2 linked regions of the Sus scrofa genome follow. The protein of the gene in region 1 interacts with the protein of each later gene in a biochemical or structural test. Links are inferred from orthologs where the notes say so. Each region holds a gene or a part of one and is shown in the gene's direction. Other genes may lie near its edges.

Evidence for each region. The genes of interacting proteins can lie anywhere in the genome.
Region 2: the proteins of HLTF (region 1) and UBE2V2 form a complex in vitro, tested with the Homo sapiens proteins (2 studies listed by BioGRID). The link is inferred for Sus scrofa from reciprocal best matches to the Homo sapiens genes HLTF and UBE2V2.

Annotation. Positions count from the first base shown.
Region 1 is NC_010455.5:89,313,776-89,320,795, reverse strand, and holds part of HLTF (helicase-like transcription factor), read left to right. Parts: intron 1-1,000; coding exon 1,001-1,134; intron 1,135-1,943; coding exon 1,944-2,041; intron 2,042-3,570; coding exon 3,571-3,645; intron 3,646-3,945; coding exon 3,946-4,137; intron 4,138-7,020. UniProt on the Homo sapiens protein: Has both helicase and E3 ubiquitin ligase activities. Possesses intrinsic ATP-dependent nucleosome-remodeling activity; This activity may be required for transcriptional activation or repression of specific target promoters.
Region 2 is NC_010446.5:79,648,226-79,656,020, reverse strand, and holds the start of UBE2V2 (ubiquitin-conjugating enzyme E2 variant 2), read left to right. Parts: upstream 1-3,518; 5' UTR 3,519-3,573; coding exon 3,574-3,589; intron 3,590-7,795. UniProt on the Homo sapiens protein: Has no ubiquitin ligase activity on its own. The UBE2V2/UBE2N heterodimer catalyzes the synthesis of non-canonical poly-ubiquitin chains that are linked through 'Lys-63'. This type of poly-ubiquitination does not lead to protein degradation by the proteasome.

The DNA of each region.
Region 1 (7,020 bases):
CCTTTTGGTGCATTGATTTGGGAAATCTGGAAGTGCTTATTTAGATCAGAGGTTGTAAGCTGATAGCTTGTGATGAGGTGTAGATGAGTGTGATTTTTGTCTACACAATGTTTAAATGTTTTTTCATTTATTTCCAATATTTGAGTATCTGGATATTTTACATTTTATACATACTTTGTCTACACAGTGTTTAAATGTTTTTTCATTTATTTCCAATATTTAAATATCTGGATATTTTACATGTTATACATCTATTTGCAAAGATTTCTCTTGACAAATGGATGATCTGGTAATGCAGGATACTTATTTCCATATAACATCAGTTGACTGGAGCTGAGTAGCAGCAGTTGCATTAACTAGGTATATACCTTTTAGTTGTACCACCTGTTCCTTTTTTAAAACTTTGTCTCTTTGGTTATGTTTTCTCTTTCATGCATTTGTGTTTGTGATCTCAATTTAAATATAGGGTGTTTAGGATATTAAAATGTGAGTTTTGAGGAGAAATACTCAGCAGTACTTGTCACTTGGAGCCCCTTGGCTTTTGTTACTTAGAACTGAGCACTCAGCAGTGCTCAGTTCAAGTTTTTCAGCTACTGAGAGTAAACTTTTAGTGAATCCTGGATCAGAAATAGTTCTTGAAAATTATTCCTCATTCTCCCAGAGTGGATTTCTGCACTCGGTGGTTCTGTTAGTGAAAGCTCTACCTTCTCAGTTAAACTTACCATCTTACTTATCTTATGATCTTTGTAATATGCTCTCTATATTTTTAAACACTTTTATGTCATCTCCATTTTTTCTGGCATTCTGGTCCTAAAATCCATCTGTTTCTTCTCATTGTTGCTGGTCCTAGTCCATGTCCTTTTTCTGTCTTTCTAGTCTGCCCAGTTCTTTCTATTTTGTTTGCATGCAAAATTTGAATGTGACAATTATTTAGCAGATTCTAAATGGACTTAAATGTAAAAAATAACTTCTAATTTTCTTTTCCTTTGAATTACAATAGGGTAGTTCCTTTTGGTGCAAATAATGCTTTTACCATGCCTCTACATATGACTTTTTGGGGAAAAGAAGAAAATAAAAAAGCGGTTTTAGATCAGTTGAAGAAACATGGATTTAAATTGGGTCCTGCACCAAAAAGTAAGTTTAGGATTTAACCTATTATTTTGGTATCATAAGGTATGGGAATTGTAAAATCTTTATTCTCTTAAATAATACTTTGAATTTGGTTGGCTGAACCAATTGGTGCTAAAGGCTCCAAGTTCTTTTTTTCAGGAATCTTTTAAAACAAATCCTTCAAAATTTTTCCTCTTTATTTTGAAATAACTATAGATTATAGTTGCATAGATACACAGAAAAATGTACAAGGAGATCCCTCTCCTAATTTCTCCCAATGATAATATCTAGAAACCGCTGATTTTAACTATTCTCTTTAATAAATTACAGACAAAAAGAATCTCCCACTAGAGAAAGAAAAATATTAATTTGTTTTGCAAGAGTTGTTGAAACCCTGCGGAATTATTTTAATGTATTTTTTGAATGATTTAGAAGATGTATATGCTTTTAAATTTTTTAGGGAGTTCCTGTTGTGGCTCAGTGGGTTATGAACCTTGCTAGTATCCACGAAGACACAGGTTTGATACCTGGCCTTGCTCAGTGGGTTAAGGATCCATCATTGCCGTGAGCTGTGGTGTAGATTGCAGACATAGCTTGGATCCTGCATTGCTGTGGCTGTGGCTTAGGCTGATGACTGCATCTCTGATTCCACCCCTAGCCTGGGAACTTCATACGCCGTAGGTGTGGCCCCAGAAAGCAAAAAGAAAACAAATTTTTCAAAAATTATATTAAGGGAATTTTAAATTCAGCTTTACGTAAGCTTTAAAAGCTATTTACTTAAAGATAATTTATTTTGTTTGGTGATTTTATTCTTTTCATTTTGTAAATTATAGCTTTAGGATTCAGTTTGGAAAGTGGTTGGGGCTCTGGAAGAGCTGGACCAAGCTATAGTATGCCAGTTCACGCTGCAGTACAAATGACAACTGAACAGGTATACTTCTCTTTTGTTTTGTAATCTAAAAGTGAATTTTAAATGTTGAAGATTGATATTTAAAAGTATAGGATAAATATGTATGTGCTAGTATTAGTGATCTTTAGAGGTATAAGTTACCAAATGTTTAGGTAAAGTATATATTGCAAGCACTTATATGGAAAGAAAGCAATGCTAAGGAATATGTGCACACATATTCGTTCACACATATATTGAAACACACATATTGCTATATATGCTGGGATATTTTACTATGTCTTGATGTTTTTGTATTATTTGAAATTTAATGTTCATAATTAAAAAAAAATTTAAGCTTGAATCCTACTCCTTTTGCAGATGAGGTACTAAAAAATTAGTTCCAAATCTTTGACCTTAGTTATTTCTTACTTTGTCTACTTTGTGATCAAGGATGCAGTTATACTAGGTTAGTTTGGGGATAAATGATAAAAAATAAATTAATGCATATCAGTCTGCCAATTACATTGAAATTTTTTGTTTCTATTTTTAACTTTTTCTTTTTTTTTTTTTTTTTTCCTTTTTACTGTCCCACCTGAGGCATATGGAAGTTCTCAGGCTGGGGTGGAATTGGAGCTGCAGCTGCCACCTTACGACACAGCCACCTCAGCACTTCATCCAAGCTGCATCTGCGACCTATGCCACAGCTTGCGGCAATGCTGGATCTTTAACCCACTGAGCAAGGCTAGGGATCAAACCCGTATCCTTACAGATGTTATGTTGACTTCTTATCCTGCTGAGCCACAATGAGAATGCCATACTTTTAGCCTTTTTATATTCTAATTATAGTTACTGTATTTTCCCTGCTCATGATTAGAAGGACTTAAGCTTGTGCCCAGTGGGTAAACCCCAGATTACCTCTCCTCAATTATTAGACTTAGCCCGATTTGTTCTGGGCTGCTGCTGTGTATTTATTTGCCAATTTACAAAAGTAATTTTAGCATATATATGTTATTATAAAATTGGAGTAAATCAAATTAAAGAACCAACTAGATCAAATTAGCATAAGATTGAAATTATCCTAATGTTTTTCAGCACATAGCAGGATGATTGCAGTAATACTAAGTGAGATGTCATTTACTTGAAAAAGTCAAATATACATGGTAGGATCTGCCAAAATGGTTTGAATACAGTTAATAGAATCACATAATTTAAATGACAAAAGAAACTTTAGAAATACTCTAAACTTTAGAGATACTCATTTTGTAGGCATAAGATAACAGGGCCGTAAAGGTAAAGTATTTTGCCCAAAGTTATATATAGGTTATTTGTGACAGAGCTGTGACTGAAACTCAGGACTTAAAACTCCATTCTGTATTCCTTTGACTGTAACAGTTACAGGACCTATTTATTCTGCCTTTATCGAGCAGTGTATTATCACAAATAATTTATTTTACATACCTTTTGGTATTCATCTCTTTTGGTTAATTAAATGATTTGAAATCTCTGAATTACATGCAATTATTATTTTAATTGGTTTGCTTCATAATGTTTCTTGTTGTTCTTTGTTGTAGCTTAAGACAGAATTTGACAAATTGTTTGAAGATTTAAAAGAAGATGATAAAACTCATGAAATGGAACCAGCTGAGGTATTGAGCCAATGCTTTCTATTTAAAAATATTTGGATTTTAAGATACAGTGTTAATCTATACATTAAATTTTTTTGGCCGTGCCCATGGCCATGTGGAAGTTCCAGAGCCAGGGATCAAACCCACAGCAGGGATCTGAGTCACAGCAGTAACAACGCCAGATCCGTAATCTGCTACATCATAGGGGAACTCCGTTAATCTATACATTTTTATGACAAGATCAATTGTTTTCTAGATTCTGCATGGGGAAAAAGAAAAGGTTTATTGTATTTCTGTTTATGATATTTCCTTTATTTATAGGCTGTTGAAACACCATTACTTCCACATCAAAAACAAGCTTTAGCTTGGATGGTTTCACGGGAAAATAGTAAAGAACTTCCACCGTTCTGGGAACAGCGAAGTGACTTATACTATAACACAATAACTAATTTTTCTGAGAAGGACCGACCAGAAAATGTTCATGGAGGAATTTTAGCTGATGATATGGGTTTGGTAATTTTATTTTTTCTTGAGTTAATAACATTTTCCTTGTAACTATGATTTTATAGAAAGTAATTTTTGAAGTAGATATAGATGGGAAGATGTTGGTGCCAGTTGGGATTAGAATATAGTTTCTCTCATGGTTTTTACTTAAACTAATGCTAAGCTTTTTTTTTTTTTCTTTTGGTTCATTTGCCTAAAGTACAGTTAAAGTAATTAGTAATGATAAGAACATACATTTCTGAATTTTCTTTTGAATTTCAAGGTAGCTTATCTTTCATTTTTTTTTTTTTTCTTTTTACAGCTGCACCTGCAGCATACGGAAGTTCTTAGGCCAGGGGTTGAATCAGAGCTGCAGCTGGGTCCCATGCCACAGCCCCAGCTACACCAGATCCAAACCGCATATGCAACTAACTCTGCAGCTTATGGCTATACCAGATCCTTAACCCACTGACTGAGGCCAGCAATCGAACCCGCATTCTCACAGAGACAATGTTGGGTCCTTAACGTGCTGAGCCACAACAGGAATTCCTCACGGGCTTTCTAATAGGAAGATATGATTCCTTACACCAGCAGTTTTTATTCTTTTTGGTCTCAGCAACGCTTTACATTCTTGAAAATTATTGAGGATCTCAAAGAGCTTTTGTTTTTGTGAGTTTTCTATATTAATATGTCTTAATATTTATGATTTAGATATTAAATTTTTCTGATTGTTTTTAAAATAATAGTTAACAAAACTCATTACTTGTAAACAGAAATAGCGTATTTAAAATGAAAAGTACTCTAAAAGAAAAGCAGTTTTGATAAGGCTGGCATTTACATTTGACATTTTTGCAGATTTTTTGGTTTTTTTTTTTTAGGGCTACACCCATGCCTATAGAAATTCCCAGGCTAGGGGTCGAATCAGAGCTATAGCTGCTGGCCTACACCACAGCTACATAGGATCCAAGGTGCATCTGTGACCCACTTTACAGCTCATGGCAACACCGGATCCTTAACCTGCTGAGCAAGGCCAGAGATGAAACCCACATCCTCATGGATACTAGTCTGGTTTGTTACTGCTGAGCCATGACAGGAACTCCTCATTTTTGCAGATTTCTTTAATGTCTGGCCTGATAGTTGACAGCTAAATTATAATCTGTTTTTTCATTCATACTGTTATAATATGTTATTTTGGTTGAAGTATATAAAGAAAATTAGTCCTCACACAGCTATCCAGTTGTAAAAGGGAGTATTTTAATAGCTTTTTTAGATAACTAGATACAACGATAAGATTAAACAAGTATTAATTTATTAAAGGTTAATAGTTATAACTTAGAACCTAAAAATCTTATCAGTGAACTTTTTATACTTTGTTCCATTAATATCCACTAGTGTAGCTGGCACATTGAGTGGATATTTTACCCATGCATGATTTTGTAACAAAGTATTGCTCATTTGGAAAAGATTGGTTCTCCGAGTTACACAGAAATGCCAAATGTTGATGCATTTCATTATGCAGTATTAAAGAATTTACATTCATTGATACTACCGCTGATCTTATTAGAAAGATATTTACGGAGTTCCTGTCGTGGCACAGTGGTTAACGAATCCAACTAGGAACCATGAGGTTGCGGGTTCGATCCCTGGCCAACTAGGAACCATGAGGTTGCGGGTCCGATCCCTGGCCTTGCTCAGTGGGTTAAGGGTCCAGCGTTGCTGTGGCTGTGGCTTAGGCCGGCAGCTACAGCTCTGATTAGACCTCTAGCCTGGGAACCTCCATATGCCGTGGGAGCGGTCCTAGAAAAGGCAAAAAAAAAAAAAAAAAAAAAAGAAAGATATTTACATTTGGGAAGCTTCTGTGCTTTCAGCATTGGATACAAGTTTTCTAATATTCAATTTTTACTTGAAAGCTCAAATTTTATCATTAGCAACAAATACTGTCAGTTTTCCTTGGAGTTGATAGGCTCACTTTATTCATTTTTCAAGAAAATGTCTGGCACTCAGTCATAAATAACTAGTTGTCAGTTCTTTCAGTTACAAGGTTAATACTTGGAAGTGATAATGCATGATGATGCATGGTAGCTAGTTGAACTTCAGTTTAGTCTCAAGGGACTTTGCTCTAGATAACCTTCATATTTTGTTGTGCAAAAGAAGTATTTTCTATACCTCTTATCTTGTGATACAAAATATTCAAAAGATGTACTTAAGAGGTAAGATTTGATAAATGAATGTGTACTGCTTCATCAAGAACATTCTTAAAGTGAAACTTTGTTTTTTACTTATGTGATGGTTCCAAATATAATGACCACTGGTACAATGTAGTGCCAACAGCTCTGTTTCATTCTAAGGCAGCAGCAGTTTTACCCACCGTTGCTTTTGTGGAATTACTTCATATATCAACACAAATGAAGTCCCAGTAGTATTACTAAAATAGTTTTGACAGCACATACTCCTGAAAGGGTCCTGGAGAACTTCTAGGACCTGTGGACAGCACTCTGTAAACTGCTGCTTTACACTGCTTTAAAATTGACAGAGATTTATTTCTGTGTTGCTAATTATAAATTAAGCTATGGAAAATAATGTTTATATTTAAGAAAAATGCACAAGAAATATATCCTTTATGTGTTATTGGTATGGTAGCTTTTAAGCTTTTATTTTTAAATAAAATATCTTATTTTTATATTGGAATTACTAATCATTTTATGTTAGATCTGAATTACATGGCAAGCAAATAGTTGTAGTTTAATTATAAAGTTTTTATAGTTCAGGTTTAGACATAAAATTTTAAAACAGTCATTCAATAAAATGACACTTCTCAGAGATGCTTATAATATTTTATTTAATAATTCTTGGTAATACAATGTGGTAAAGCATTTACTAACTTAATGAAATATTTTTTTCATTAAATGTGGT
Region 2 (7,795 bases), on another chromosome or scaffold:
GACATCAAATACCTTCAGTGACTCCCAAAATATGTGTAGACTGATTACCACACTTCTAAATAACACTTGAGGTATAGATGAAATCGCAAGAGAAATTTACAAAGTTTTTTTTTTAAAAAAATCGAGTTATACTTGATTTACAATATTATTAGTTTCAGGTGTACAACGCAGTGTTTCTAAACTTTTACATAATATTCCATTTAAAGTTATTATACACTGGGAACCATGTCTAGTCACTTGTGATGGAGCATGATAAGTGAAAATAGAATGTGTACATGTATGTGTAACTGGGTCACCATGCTGTACAGCAGAAAAAAAAATTGCATTGGGGAAATAACTATTAAAAAATAAATAAATAAATAAATAATAAAGTTATTATAAAACACTGGCTATATACCCTATCCTTCACAATATAGTCTCACACCTTATTTATTTTATGCATAGTAGTTTGTACCTCTTACTCACCTAACACTACCTTGCCCCTCCTTCTTCCTTTTCCCCTCGGATAACCATTAGTCTGTTCTCTATATCTATGAACCTGTTTCTGTTTCATTACACTCACTTGTTTGTTTGATTTTTTAGATTCCACATATAAGTGAAAACAGAGTATCTGTCTTTGTCTCACTTACTTAGCGTAATACCCCTCAGGTGCATCCATGTTGCTGACAAAGGCAAAATTCCATTTGTTTTTATGGCTGATTAATAATCCATCATATGTATGTACCACATCTTCTTTATCCATTCCTCTGTCGATGGACACTTTAGGTTGCTTCCATGTCTTGGGTACTGTGAGAGAGTGTGTTTGTTTCCTATTGCTGCAAAACAAATTATTCCAAAATGTAGTGGCTTAAAACAGCAAACATGTATTATCTCATTATTGGTGGGTCAGGAATCTGGGCACCTTTAGCTGGTTCCTCTGTCTCTAGCAGAGTGGCAATGAAGGGGCTGGCCCAGGATGCAGTGTCATCCAAAGAGATAACGGGGAGGATCTGCTTGCAAGCTCACCCCCATATTTGTTTTGTTTTTTTTTTTTTTTGTCTTTTTGCCATTTCTTGGGCCACTCCTGCGGGCATATGGAGTTTCCCAGACTAGGGGTCTAATTGGAGCTGTAGCTGCCAGCCTACGCCAGAGCCACAGCAGCGCAGGATCTGAGCCGCGTCTTCGACCTACACCACAGCTCACGGCAACGCCAGATCGTTAACCCACTGAGCAAGGGCAGGGATCGAACCCGCAACCTCATGGTTTGTAGTGGGATTCGTTCGCCATGATGGGAACTCCCCATATTTGTTGATAGGGTTCAGTTCTTTGTGGCTGTTGAACCGAAGACCTCACTTCCTCAAGGTTCTTGGGCCAGAAGATCTTAGCTCCTTTCCACGTGGGCTTCTCTAGAAGGCAGCTGTCAGGATGACAGCTGGCTTCCTTCACAGGGAGCAAGAGAGAGCATGTCGGAAATCCAGTCTCTGGCCCCCCATGCCTAAAGCATGCAGAAGTTCTGAGGTCAAGGATTAAACCTGAGCCACAGCAGTGACAAGGCTGAATCCTTACCCCCGAGCCACTAGGGAACTCCAGGAGTCCTTTTTTTTTTGCTTTTTAGGGCCGCACCTGTAGCATACAGAGTTTGCCAGGATAGGGGTCAAATTGGAGCTGTAACTGCTGGCCTACAACACAGGCACAGCAATGTGGGATCTGAGCCATGTCTGTGACCTACATTATAGCTCACAGCAATGCTAGATCCTTAACCCATTGGGCGAGGCCAGGGATTGAACCTGCCTAGTCAGATTCATTTCCATTGAACCACAATAGGAACTCCCAGCAGCCTATTCTTTCTAAACAAAATCTCAGAAGTGATATTCCTGCACTTGTCTTATTTTGTTTATTGGAAGCTGGTCAGTAAACCCAGCCCCCACAAAAGGCAAGAGGATTATAAAACAAGGTATCAACACCAGAAGGGATCACTGGGAGCCGTTATAGAGGCTTCCTTCCAGAGAAGAGTGCAACAAATCTTAAAAGAGCACTCTATAGTGCCACTTCCTATTATGAGGCATAGCTGGGAGCAACTGGGAAGAAAAAGCAGCTGACACAGCACATTCAGAAATTAAGAACAGGATCTGCCTCCTCCCAAAGTCTAAGTCATGTGTAAGAGATGGGTGAGAAATAAGGGTGCAGGGTGGAAAGAAGTGGCCCCTCTGACTAGAAAATAGTGGCGTAGCATTAAGGATCTAGTGGCATTGTTACTGCAGCAGTGCAGGTTTCATTCCTGGCCTGGGAACTTCCACACATGCTGCAGGTTTGGCCAAAAATATTGCCTGCCATATCAGTAAACAAAGGATGTCATAGCCATCAGGCCACCACATTGGGAATTCAGCCCAGGGAGCGCTGCAGCCACCACCAAGGCTGCATCCTGAGGGCGCGGGATACTAAGGGCACAAGGTAGCTAAGGTGTTCGTCAAAGGAATATTTCAATGCCAGACTCTGCACCTTTCCATAGACAAAAAAGCGTGAAATTCTTTAATTTGGGATGTCTGTTCTTCAACAGTAATGTTCTGATGCTCAGACTTTCTAGTCTTTGCTACACTCCCCCCACTTCCAAGCAGTCCCTCACAGTGATCTGAGTCTCGGCTCCCGCGCTCCAAGTCCTCAGAATGTCTGCCAAACAAAACCTAACTCTCAGCTTTCAGGCTGTGCGTTTTTTTCAGTCAGCACCACCCAACAAGAACCACCTCGCCTTGTGCATAGCAAGTACCACTAAGGCAGGACTTGGGACGAGCTCCCCGGCCCCGCCCGGTCGGGGATACCAGCGCGGGGGGTGCGGGACTCCGTCCGCGCCCCTTCTGCGGGTAGCAGGGTGCACGCACCCCGGGACCTCGCAGCCCTCGGGGGTCGCCGGCAGTCCTACGCGGGGCCGGCTTGGCGCCACCACCCGAGTCTGTGCGCGTCCCCGCGGCCGCCGCCAACAGTGGGGGCACGTTCGCAGCGAGGCTCTTCTGTGACTCGGAAGCTCTTTTACACTTTTGGGGAGAATTTTCTAGACTTGGACGTAGATCTTAATCATTGCCTCCACCAACTCATATCGCAAAAGAAAATACGAATAAGGTAGCTTAATTTTAAGGGTTCTTTAAACTTCCGATCCGCTTCTTGAATTATTTCCACAGAAAACGACCCGTCGGGACCAGCCTTCCTCCCACAACCCCTCCGTTCAACTCTCAGAGCCGCGTCCTTCCCCATCAGGGGGCCCTCGGCGGCGCTCCGCCCCCCGGCTCGACGCACGCCCGTGACGTCACGCCGGCGAGGGTTCTCCGAAGCGCGAGCCCTTCCCGGAGCGTTCTTGCCTCGCGCTTCGCTCTCTCTTACGGTGACTGACTCGAGAGTGTTCCGTCAACTTCTTCTGTCACATTTCTCTGAAGTAGTTGCAGCGCTTCGGGAACCCGGAAACCGCGGGGCGGGTCCGTGGTGACGCACCGGAAGCCGCGGGGCGGGACCCTGCAGTCGGAAGCCGCAGGGCGGGCAGTGGCGCTCCCGGAAGTGGCGCGGTCTTCGCGTGCGTGAGGGCGGTGCGTCGGGCTGCAGGAGAAGATGGCGGTCTCCACAGGTCTGTTCCCGGCCGGGCCGCTTGCTTTTCCACCCCGACCCGAGCTGCGCCTCCGCCTGCTGCCGGCTATCGGCCTGGCCATGCGGAGAAGCAGGAGCGCGGCCCCTTGGCGGCTGCGTTCCCCGTGAAGCGCACTGGGAACAGGGAGGGTCGGGGCTGCTGTCGGGGCGGCGGTCGTGCCCGCGCGTCGGCTGCGCGCCCTAGAGCTGGGCTGGGCCCTGCTTGGTCTGGGGTCCTGCAGGCGTTGCTGGGTCAGGCAGGCGGGGGCTCGCGGACTGTGAGAGAGCGAGCAGGGGTGCCCAGGGTGGGCTACCTCCACCTGGGCGCGGGAGGGCTCGCTTGGGGGTCCAGGCTGAAGCGAGTCTGATTCCTGACTCGCCTTGACGTGGGCGGAGGACGGGGCCGTCTCCTAACTGACCGCAGGTGTGTTATCTTTCATTTGAGTGAAAAACTGTGGTGCAAACTAAGTAAAAGCAAGGAGTGAGGTGAACGCTAACTGAAGAAAAAGCAATTTCTTAGATTAGCTATTCAACTCCTTTCTTGCACTTAATACAGTTTTGTTTTCTATGAGCACAGACTTTGAAATTAAGTATTACCACTAAGATTTTAGACATTTGACTATTAAATGTTAAAGTCAAAATGTTAGGCTTTATTACTTAAAAATATTAATGCGTATGATCTTTAATTTTTCTAATCATACCCATTAATACAAACTAGTTTTGCATTTCATGTCATCATTATATAATAAAACGAATTTTCAAGTCTACATACTAAAGTGGAAGGCATCAGTGTATGTTGTGATGGGTAGTCTCAAGGTAATACCATTCTACATTCATTTCAGTGAGAAGTTGTGTCTTTTTAATGTCTCATCTTGACTACGTGCAGGCGTCACGATAAGATGTTTAGTTTTGGTGTTGGGGAACTGTTTCAGTAGACTGATGAGAGATGAGATGAGAACTAAGTAATAAAGCATGGGTGATTTAAAAGTGATATTTTAGTGTTAAAACTTTATAATTACTGCCCTTTCCATTTGAAATCCTGCGTGCTTGTTAGTGGGGCTGTGTTTATGAGATGTGCTTAGTATTTATAGGTTCTTGAAAACTTAGTAATAAAATGATTTATTTTCATTCGATTGATAGTTTTCACTTTGTGGATTTCATTTTTTACTTAAACACAATCCCCCCCACACACACTGTACATATGAGAGAGTGTGGAAATATTTTGAAAAGACCAATGGTTATATTAATGACAGGTACTTTTTATTAACCACATTTAATCATTTGGGGGAGTTGTAAGGAAATTGCCGTGAGATTATTTGCATATTTGTTATATATTGGAATGTGTATTTTCTGGTCTGTATTTTCAGCATTCCTAAATTCTGTATTTACACCGTTTAGATTTATGAGATTTGAAACTTTAGCTTAATTAAAAAGAATATATTTTAGGCAGTTAATTGATGTTTTCTTAAACCACTGAAATTTGTTTTGAAACTGTTGCTAAAAATTGCCCTGGTGAATTTTATGTTCTAGTTATCCTTTTTTGTGCTTTACAAGAGTGACAGTGTTGTCCACTTGGGGGAGAGGTGTCTAAAGTAAGTTCTGGATTATGTATTGGAACTTTTTTTTTTTTTTTTTTAATGGCTGAACTTGAGGCATACGGAAGTACCTGGGCCAGGAATTGAACTTGAGCCGCAGCTGCAACCTGTGTCACAGCTGCGGCAATGATGGATCCTTTAACCCACAGCACCAGGCTGGGGATGGAATCCATGCATCTGCAGCAACCTGAGCCGATGTAGTTGGATTCTTAACCCACTGCACCACAGCAGGAACTCCTGGAGCTATTTTTAAATTATATTTTCTCTTAGTTACACTTTCATATTTGCTTCTTGGTAGTAAGGGAGGGAAACAGTACCTTTATATCTGTGAAGTAGATGTGGTAAAGCTTGAAATTTAAATTAGATTAGTTAGATCAGGTATTGTATATGTTTGCTTGTTTTTCTTTTTCTTTCCTTTTCTTTTTTGGCTGCTCCTGAGGCATATTGAAATTCCCAGGCCAGAGATCAAATCCAAGCCACACCTGCAACATATGCCACAGCTTCAGCAGTGCCAGATCCTTAATCCACTGTGCTGGGCCGGATTGAACTGGTGCCTCCACAGAGATAAGATGGATCCTTAACCCACTGCACCACAGTGGGTACTCCTACTTGTTTTTTAATTGAGCCAAAATAACCTTGACAAAAATAGTTATTTGATAGGCCAAAAAGAAAAAGCATCCGACAAATATTTTTTTTTACCTCAATTAAAGCACTGTATTTTAATGTCCATTGCCTAAGTCATATGTTTTTATCCTTTCTGTTACTAGAAAAAAAATTGATGGGGATTCTAATTAAACAGACCTCTGAGCTGAAACATACTTCGCCATACTACTTGATCCTCTTTTTTTGTAGATGAGAAAACTGAGGCCTAAGGAAATATAAGATTTTACATAGTTGGTTATCAATAGAGTCCAGATTAGAATCTAGTTTTTTTACTCTCAGCCTAGTGCTTTTTTCATCATGAGGAACTCTGAATTTGGAATAATCCTGAAATCAGGAGCCCTTATTCCCTTTTAGATTTGAGAGTGGCTTTCATGCTTCTCTTCTAGTAGAATCCTTATTCAGACTCTCAGACACTTCCATTCATGAAATGGGCTGTGGTGGAAACCCCACTGGCTAGATTCCCAGTTCCCAGAGGCAGAGTCACTTCTGGGGGGTCGGTATGATTTCATAGCACACAGCTTAAAAAAAAAATAAAAATACACTGCTATGTTTAGTACCTGTGATTCAAAATTAAAAGTGTATGCAATAATTTATAGTAATAGTACATTTTTAATTTTAGAGTACTTTCAAATTTTACAGAAAAGTTGTGAGGATGGTACAGGGCATTCCTATACATGTATCCAATTTCTCCTGTTAACATCATGGTCTGGTACATTTATCACCAAGTAATGAACGAGTATCAACATACTTATCATTAACTGAAGTTGGTACTGTATTCAGGTTTCTTTAGTTTTTACCTAATGTCTGTTTCTGTCCGAGGATCCCATCCAGAATACATTGTAATGTGAAACATTTGAATATTTTTTGTCATTTATCAGTAGTTAGACTAGTGGTGTGATGGAGCTGTCTTCTCTGAATGCAGAAGATTGCAAAATGTCTTTAGTGAGAGGCTCAGAAAAAAAGATGGAATATTTTTTCTTTGTTGGTAAGCCACATGAGTGGAAAACAAGACCAAAGTAAAACCCAATTACCATTTTCAGAAGTGGGCAGCATTATGTATCCTGGAGCAAGAACTGGGTTAGCAGTGTTTCAGTTTTCCTGCTGCCCTGCTAGATTGCTTTGCATGCTAGATATGCTCCTGCGCTCTTAAGCCTTGCTTTCCACCTCCCCGTCTATGAAAAGGTTGGACAATATGAGGTTGTTTTCCCCATATTAAAGATGAAGATGTGTGGATATGGCAGAACGTGGGAGCAGTAAAAGAGATTTGCATGTATAAATCATAGAATTTGGAAACTAAACAATATAGGAGCTGAACTGTTATAGTCTAAGGTATTTCCCTCTTCAGACTAATAACTGGCCTGGTAGATTTCTCTGTTAGTTATGAACCTGGATGCTCCTGATGCATGTTTGCTCTTGATAACGTCAGGTACTGCTTACTGTGGAGCAGCCCTCCCTTTGCAGAGTAGTTGGGGTGGCAGACTGAAACTGTCCCAAACAGTCTTACTAAGTGTGAAAAATTAGGATCATTCTGTGACCTTTGAAAATGTTCACTAAAACATTTTTTAAAAAGTAAAACTAACATTTGTTAGTACACTGTGATTTAAATGTGAGTTTAAGAATTAGAATGGGGGAGTTCCTGTCGAGGCGCAGTGGTTAACGAATCTGACTAGGAACCATGAGGTTGCAGGTTCAATCCTTGGCCTTGCTCAGTGGGTTAAGGATCCTGCGGTTGCCGTGAGCTGTGGTGTAGGTTGCAGACGAGGCTTGGATCTGGTGTTGATGTGGCTCTGGTATAGGCTGGCGGCTACAGCTCTTATTTGACCCCTAACCTGGGAACCTCCATATGCTGCGAGTGTGGCCCTAAAAGGACAAAAGACAAAAAAAAAAAAAAAAAAAAAGAAAAAAGAATTAGAATGGGAGTTCTCTAGTGGTGCAGTAGATTAAGGATC